Xenopus tropicalis: one gene and its partner. The protein of the gene in region 1 interacts with the protein of each later gene in a biochemical or structural test. Links are inferred from orthologs where the notes say so. Each region holds a gene or a part of one and is shown in the gene's direction. Other genes may lie near its edges.

Region 1 (3,500 bases):
TAGCGCAGCCATTTCCCCTCGCGAGTAGCCGGCTCCTGCCAGGCACATTGTGCAATGTCAATACAGACACGTGGCTGAGTAAATTTGCTCTCCTCCGGTTTGTGTGTATTTTAGTCCCCCCTCCCCCTACATTCCCTGCTTTGTGCCAAGTGTCCTTACTACTGGGGGGGGCATTGTAGCAATGTTTCCGTTTACACAGTGTATATTGTATCATTCATTCAGGTGAGGTGGGGTTTGTTAATAGTTAGTAACCAACTCCCTACCCACTTGTTTGCCCCATCCATAAATTTAAGAATGGCTAAATCTTAGCAACTTTTCAATTGGTCTTCATTTTTTTTTTAATAGTTTTTGAATTATTTGCCTCTTTCCAGTTTTCAAATGGGGGTCACTGACCCCGGCAGCCAAACCCTATTGCTCTGTGAGGCTCCAGTTTTATTGTTACTGTTAATCTTTTCTATTCTGCCCATCTCCTATTCATATTCCAGTCCCGAACGCAAATCATAGCCAGGTTGCTAGGGTAATTTGGGTCCTAGCAACCAGATAGCTGCTGAAATACCAAACTGGAGAGCTTCTAAAAAGCTAAATAATTTAAAAACCCACTCACATTAAAAAATGAAGGCCAATTGCAAATTGTCTCAGAATAGAAGTCTCTACATCGAACTAGAAGTTAAAGGCCAACAACGCCTTTAATTGCTTAGAAGTATGTGCCTGTGTGTTCTATAGAGCCTAATTATCTCTCTCTCTCTCTCTCTCTCTCTCTCTCTCTAGTTGGGAAGACTTCTTTAATAACCAGGTTCATGTATGACAGCTTTGACAACACATACCAGGTAAGCGTGTAGTCTAATGTCATGTAGTACAGGGGAATCCCTATGTGCCATAGTTTTATGGTCTCTCTCTGTACAGGCTATGAGCAAACTTAGGGGGCTGTTCCTGCTGAATTGTGCTTAGTACAGGGGAATCCCTATGTGCCATAGTTTTATGGTCTCTCTCTGTACAGGCTATGGGCAAACTTAGGGGGCTGTTCCTGCTGAATTGTGCTTAGTACAGGGGAATCCCTATGTGCCATAGTTTTATGGTCTCTCTCTGTACAGGCTATGGGCAAACTTAGGGGGCTGTTCCTGCTGAATTGTGCTTAGTACAGGGGAATCCCTATGTGCCATAGTTTTATGGTATCTCTCTGTACAGGCTATGGGCTAACTTAGGGGGCTGTTCCTGCTGAATTGTGCTTAGTACAGGGGAATCCCTATGTGCCATAGTTTTATGGTATCTCTCTGTACAGGCTATGGGCTAACTTAGGGGGCTGTTCCTGCTGAATTGTGCTTAGTACAGGGGAATCCCTATGTGCCATAGTTTTATGGTCTCTCTCTGTACAGGCTATGGGCAAACTTAGGGGGCTGTTCCTGCTGAATTGTGCTTAGTACAGGGGAATCCCTATGTGCCATAGTTTTATGGTATCTCTCTGTACAGGCTATGAGCAAACTTAGGGGGCTGTTCCTGCTTAATTGTACTTAGTACAGGGGAATCCCTATGTGCCATATTTTTATGGTATCTCTCTGTACAGGCTATGAGCAAACTTAGGGGGCTGTTCCTGCTGAATTGTGCTTAGTACAGGGGAATCCCTATGTGCCATAGTTTTATGGTATCTCTCTGTACAGGCTATGAGCAAACTTAGGGGGCTGTTCCTGCTGAATTGTACTTAGTACAGGGGAATCCCTATGTGCCATATTTTTATGGTATCTCTCTGTACAGGCTATGAGCAAACTTAGGGGGCTGTTCCTGCTGAATTGTGCTTAGTACAGGGGAATCCCTATGTGCCATAGTTTTATGGTATCTCTCTGTACAGGCTATGAGCAAACTTAGGGGGCTGTTCCTGCTGAATTGTGCTTAGTACAGGGGAATCCCTATGTGCCATAGTTTTATGGTATCTCTCTGTACAGGCTATGAGCAAACTTAGGGGGCTGTTCCTGCTGAATTGTGCTTAGTACAGGGGAATCCCTATGTGCCATATTGTTATGGTATCTCTCTGTACAGGCTATGAGCAAACTGATGGGGCTGTTCCTGCTGAATTGTGCTTAGTACAGGGGAATCCCTATGTGCCATAGTTTTATGGTATCTCTCTGTACAGGCTATGAGCAAACTGATGGGGCTGTTCCTGCTGAATTGTACTTAGTACAGGGGAATCCCTATGTGCCATATTTTTATGGTATCTCTCTGTACAGGCTATGAGCAAACTTAGGGGGCTGTTCCTGCTGAATTGTGCTTAGTACAGGGGAATCCCTATGTGCCATAGTTTTATGGTATCTCTCTGTACAGGCTATGAGCAAACTTAGGGGGCTGTTCCTGCTGAATTGTGCTTAGTACAGGGGAATCCCTATGTGCCATAGTTTTATGGTATCTCTCTGTACAGGCTATGAGCAAACTTAGGGGGCTGTTCCTGCTGAATTGTGCTTAGTACAGGGGAATCCCTATGTGCCATAGTTTTATGGTATCTCTCTGTACAGGCTATGAGCAAACTTAGGGGGCTGTTCCTGCTGAATTGTGCTTAGTACAGGGGAATCCCTATGTGCCATAGTTTTATGGTATCTCTCTGTACAGGCTATGAGCAAACTTAGGGGGCTGTTCCTGCTGAATTGTGCTTAGTACAGGGGAATCCCTATGTGCCATAGTTTTATGGTATCTCTCTGTACAAGCTATGAGCAAACTTAGGGGGCTGTTCCTGCTGAATTGTGCTTAGTACAGGGGAATCCCTATGTGCCATAGTTTTATGGTATCTCTCTGTACAGGCTATGAGCAAACTTAGGGGGCTGTTCCTGCTGAATTGTGCTTAGTACAGGGGAATCCCTATGTGCCATAGTTTTATGGTATCTCTCTGTACAGGCTATGAGCAAACTTAGGGGGCTGTTCCTGCTGAATTGTGCTTAGTACAGGGGAATCCCTATGTGCCATAGTTTTATATAGTTAAGTTGAAAGCCTATTAAAATGTTTTTAACCTCCTAAAATACACACAGTTGACATGTTTTTCTCTTCTTTGGTTTTAGGCAACAATTGGAATTGACTTCTTATCCAAAACAATGTACCTAGAGGATCGAACAGTGAGTACTGTATGGGCCAGTTTGGCTTTGTGCCTCTCCCGATGGAACCTGCAGCGTCGATGCTCGGTGTCTGGGCTTTTATCAGATTAGATTTGCCCCCATAGCAGAGGGCAGTAAGTCTGTAGGGCAATACAGTCATGCTGGAAGTGCTTTACAGGAAAGGAAGTTGCCTTGTTGCCCCAGAGATGCTCGGTCGGTCCGGAAACATTGAAAGGAGAATTAAAGGGGTAGTTCACCTTTAAATTAAGGTTTAGTATAATGTATTCAGTTTGCAATTGGTCTTCATTTTTTATTTGCAGATTTTTAAATTATTTAGCTTTTTGTTCAGCAGCTCTCCAGCTTGGGTTTTCAGCAGCTATCTGGTTGCTAGGGTCCAGTTTAACCTAGCAACCAGCCAGTGGTTTATAG
Region 2 (4,204 bases), on another chromosome or scaffold:
GGCGTTTTTCAGCCTAGTACTGGTGTAAGCAAATCCCGTTTCTATGGTGCTAATAGTGTGAAATAGCAAAAAATGCAGCGTATTTCCACTAGGTCTGCCAGCTGCCTTTGCGTATACATAGGAATAGCTTGCATTTTTGCGCAACGCTGTGTCAACAATGTATGTTTCAGAGAAATTTTTGCCCTTGATCCCCCTCCTGCATGCCACTGTCCAGGTCGTGGCACCCTTTAAACAACTTTAAAATCAGTTTTCTGGCCAAAAATGGCTTTTCTAGGTTTTAAAGCTCGCCTTCCCATTGAAGTCTATGGGGTTCGCAAAGTTCGCGAACTTTCGCACTTTTTGGCGTAAGTTCGCGAACGGGTTCGCGAACTTTTTTTTTGAGGTTCGCTTCATGCCTATTAGTAAGTCAGGTGTCTATATTATCCCTAAATTTTTTTAAAAAGAAAAGTAACCCTCCCAGCTGCCAACAGACACTCCAGCATAAATCCAACAGCGGAAGGGGGAGGATGAGGGGTCAGATGGAATCTTCAGTGGATGTGACAGTTGGGACATCAGGTGCAGGGATGCACGTGATGTCATGGGGGGGGGCTGCAGTTAGGTTTCATGCCTAGGTGAGATTTTAAAAGTTGTGGAATTTTCGCAGGGATGCACCGAACCCACTATTTTGGGTTTGGCCAAAATGAATTCTGTTGAATCCTGAGCCGAATCCAAATTAGCGTATGCTAATTAGTAATTCAGAAGGGTTAAAATTTGCCGCTCAAAAAAATTTTCCTCCCAAAATTTAACCCTTTCTGAATGCTAATTTGCATATGCTAATTGTGATTTGGATCTGCCAAAACCAAATCCATCATAAAAAGGCTGGATTCCGCCCGAATCCCAAACTGAATCTGGGATTCGGCGCATAACTAGAATTTTCCCCTGAAATGGATGCTGTCAGATACATTAGTTATTTTGAAGAAATGCTTGGATTTTTTTTAGTGTAAGAAAATAAAAGAATACTGGTATTTATACTTACTGCAATATAAAATACTGAAATAGAGACTGGCACAATTTTGTAGTCAGAAAATAGTTTTTATATAAAAAGCTAAAACAGAGACTGGTACAGTTTTGTAGTTAGAAATGAGTTTTTCCCTATTATTTAGCAATTGTCAGTATAACGAAACCTTTAATAATTCAAACAAAAACACCACATTTTCGCACAACAGTTTGAAACAAAGCAACACGTTGAAATAATGATTCCCGTATGAGCCGGAAGAAAGGGCAGGTTATTTCATCCAGATCCAATAATCGCACTGTTTGGTTGAGCACGCATCTAGTCTAGCAAGGTTTCCTTAACTAGAAAGCCTATTGGATGACAGAGTTCTCAATATCCGATTGGCTGCGACAAGCAAAGTTCTTTAGGATTGGTTGAATTCCCCAGCGCCTAGTTTGAATTCGGAAAGTAGCAACAGTCGGGAATCACGAGTCTGCTGAGAGCTGCCTGTCCCGGGAGGCGGTGGTTTCGGTCCGGGGCTCACAGGGTAATACCAAGGGTCATTATAACACAGGTTAGTTTTGTTGTAATTGGGAGATTCTACATATGTTTCTATATTCAGTACCTTGGTATGATCCCTCTTAGTTCACTGGCTTTGAGGTTTACTTCTTCTGTCTAGATATCTGCCCTATATGGTTTATTATTTATGTATTTATAATCTTTTCATACGAAGGTTGTCCCAGTGACTGGCGATCTATTGTGCTGCCACTAGTAACGCATACAGGGAGTTGTTCAAAAGTAGGGGTATTATATTTATTATTTGTCTGCTGGGTAATGCAGGAAGTATATGGTGGGAGTGCTGTCTAAAGCTAAGTGCTGTCTGTTTCCATATAGTGGGTCAGGCATTCACTGTACTGATAAAAGAATTGTCAGTCATTTCTTTGATATTATGTATTACTGAGGGCTGGGTTATATATATAAATGATGTTGTGTAATGAAGAACCTGGGGATGAAGGGGGAGGTATAAAATCCCCTGGAGGGCTGCTTATTTCCCACTGGCCTCTACTACCCTGTTGTGTAGGTGTTTGACTGCAGTTTCAAATATCACAGTGTGTTCAAGTGCCAGTGTGTGTCACAAGCCAGTGCTGGGCATAACGTGAGTGTGGCTTTGAGTACTCCCATCTTTGCCATTCCCTCATGTCACTTGCCGCTATGCAGGACTTTTATGGTAACTTGCTCCTAAAATGTCATTCATCTGCCCTGGCCTAAAGAGGTCAGGAAAGTGTTGTGTGTGAGTATACAAACATATATATACATTTTTGTATCATAGACCCATGGAATTTGTCCACAGGGAAACATATACTTAAGATGAATTATACCAGAATTCCTTTAACTATAGTACAGTTAATAGCTATTAACAATTTTAACAGTACCTACCCAATCACCTAAACAATATGGTTACATTGGAAAGAAGGAAATCTATTTATATACAGTGAAGGAAAGGTTTAACTGCATGTAAATAAGTCCCTTTCCTGTATACTTACTCTAAACCTGTTTTTTTTTTTTTTTCTGGTACAAAAGTCTTTGTTCTAAAATTGCAAATGTTAAGTGCACTGTAACCTGAGAATGTGTCAGTAGTTTTGTTTGCTAAGTCATAGGGAAGTGACTTATGAAAATGGAATGTGCCTTTTCATATGTGCACATTCCATTCTTTTAGATGATATTGAATATCTTTTCTTTTTAGGTGGTGGCTTTCACTTCTGATATTGGGTTATTTATATTCATGACTTAGTAAGCAAGACATTACAGAAATATGAAGTGAATGTTTTGTTAATACTAAAAGTCTTAAAGGGAATGTCCATGTTTTTTTTGCATAATGAAAGCAAATTATACACTATATTCCTGTATAGATTAAAATATACCTAAAGGTTAAAACACTACTACAAAAGTCCAATTTGTTGAGCTACTTACAGTAAGGGAAATCACCACTACTCTTTGGAACCCAGGCTGGTGTAGGTTTTTATTGAAAAATTGCACTAGTCCAAGTTATATTTTTCTAGGTGCCACACACCTCAGGGGGATGGGGGGGAAGGTGCATGTTGGCCAATCATGAGTGGCATTTTCTTACATGAGTAGTATTGTTTCCTCTGTCTCTATTATCCTGCACCTTCTGTGGGGCAGACCATAGGGTAATGGAACACTGGGATGTTGTCTGACACAGATTTTTGGTTGTGTTGTACAAGGGATTTTCTCCAACACCTACTAAAATTATGGTATTATCTGTTTATATATATATATATATATATATATATATATATATATATATATATATATATATATATATATATATATATATATATATATATATATATATATATATAATTTTAACTAATTCTTGTGCTGCAGAAATCCTATATTCAACAGCTTTCAGTTAATAAATATTGTAAGTTGCGGTTACCAGGGACAACACTACACCCTTCTTGCTCTCTTTATATCTGTGATGAAACTAGCATACTCTCCGAATTAGGTCAGTCACACCCATAAAGCATAAACACTGTACATTACACTCACTTTTTGTTTAATGTAGTGGTTCAGACATGATTTATTATTAGATATCACCATACTGTGCTATTAGTTCTGTGTTAGTACTTCTCTCCTAAGGGTCATGGCAGGTTTGCAAAAGTTAAAGCAGCTGGATATATCTATACACACAACTGAGTCTTTGATTTTCTGCATTTACTCAGTGCTACCATTACTTTCCCTACTAGGTACAGGGCCTGAATAATCATGGTTAGCAATGTTGTATCCCCTGGCATGGGACTGCTCTCAGATGATGAGGAGAACCCAGTGTTTGAATCTACTGCAGCTGAATGTGGGGCAGGAATCCGAAAAGCACTTCTGTCTGACTTCTCTGTCATCTCACCAGGACTGGGCCATCCTCCCCAGGTATAGAAAGTCAACCCAGTCTTATGTTTCTTTTCAGTCCAATGCTGGACAGCTTGCTAGGAGTGAGCAAGGTTTGTTCTATGTATTGTTTGTTCTATAACTTTTGAGCTTACAAATACTTATTACGTACCTAAGCTGGCTGTACACAGAAAGATTTGTTTGCTTGGGCAGGTCACCAGATGGTATGGCCAAATCAAACCAATACCAAATATGTGGGTCGGCAGTCAGTTTCAGACCACATCCACTGGCTTTTGCAGTCCTCCTCCAGCCAGATCTTTTTAGCTA

Evidence for each region.
Region 2: the proteins of rab6a (region 1) and kif20a form a complex in vitro, tested with the Homo sapiens proteins (2 studies listed by BioGRID). The link is inferred for Xenopus tropicalis from reciprocal best matches to the Homo sapiens genes RAB6A and KIF20A.

The regions. Positions count from the first base shown.
Region 1 is NC_030678.2:174,052,036-174,055,535, reverse strand, and holds part of rab6a (ras-related protein Rab-6A), read left to right. Parts: intron 1-768; coding exon 769-827; intron 828-3,038; coding exon 3,039-3,092; intron 3,093-3,500. UniProt on the Homo sapiens protein: The small GTPases Rab are key regulators of intracellular membrane trafficking, from the formation of transport vesicles to their fusion with membranes.
Region 2 is NC_030679.2:47,845,145-47,849,348, forward strand, and holds the start of kif20a (kinesin-like protein KIF20A), read left to right. Parts: upstream 1-1,404; 5' UTR 1,405-1,547; intron 1,548-3,741; 5' UTR 3,742-3,760; coding exon 3,761-3,919; intron 3,920-4,204. UniProt on the Homo sapiens protein: Mitotic kinesin required for chromosome passenger complex (CPC)-mediated cytokinesis. Following phosphorylation by PLK1, involved in recruitment of PLK1 to the central spindle. Interacts with guanosine triphosphate (GTP)-bound forms of RAB6A and RAB6B.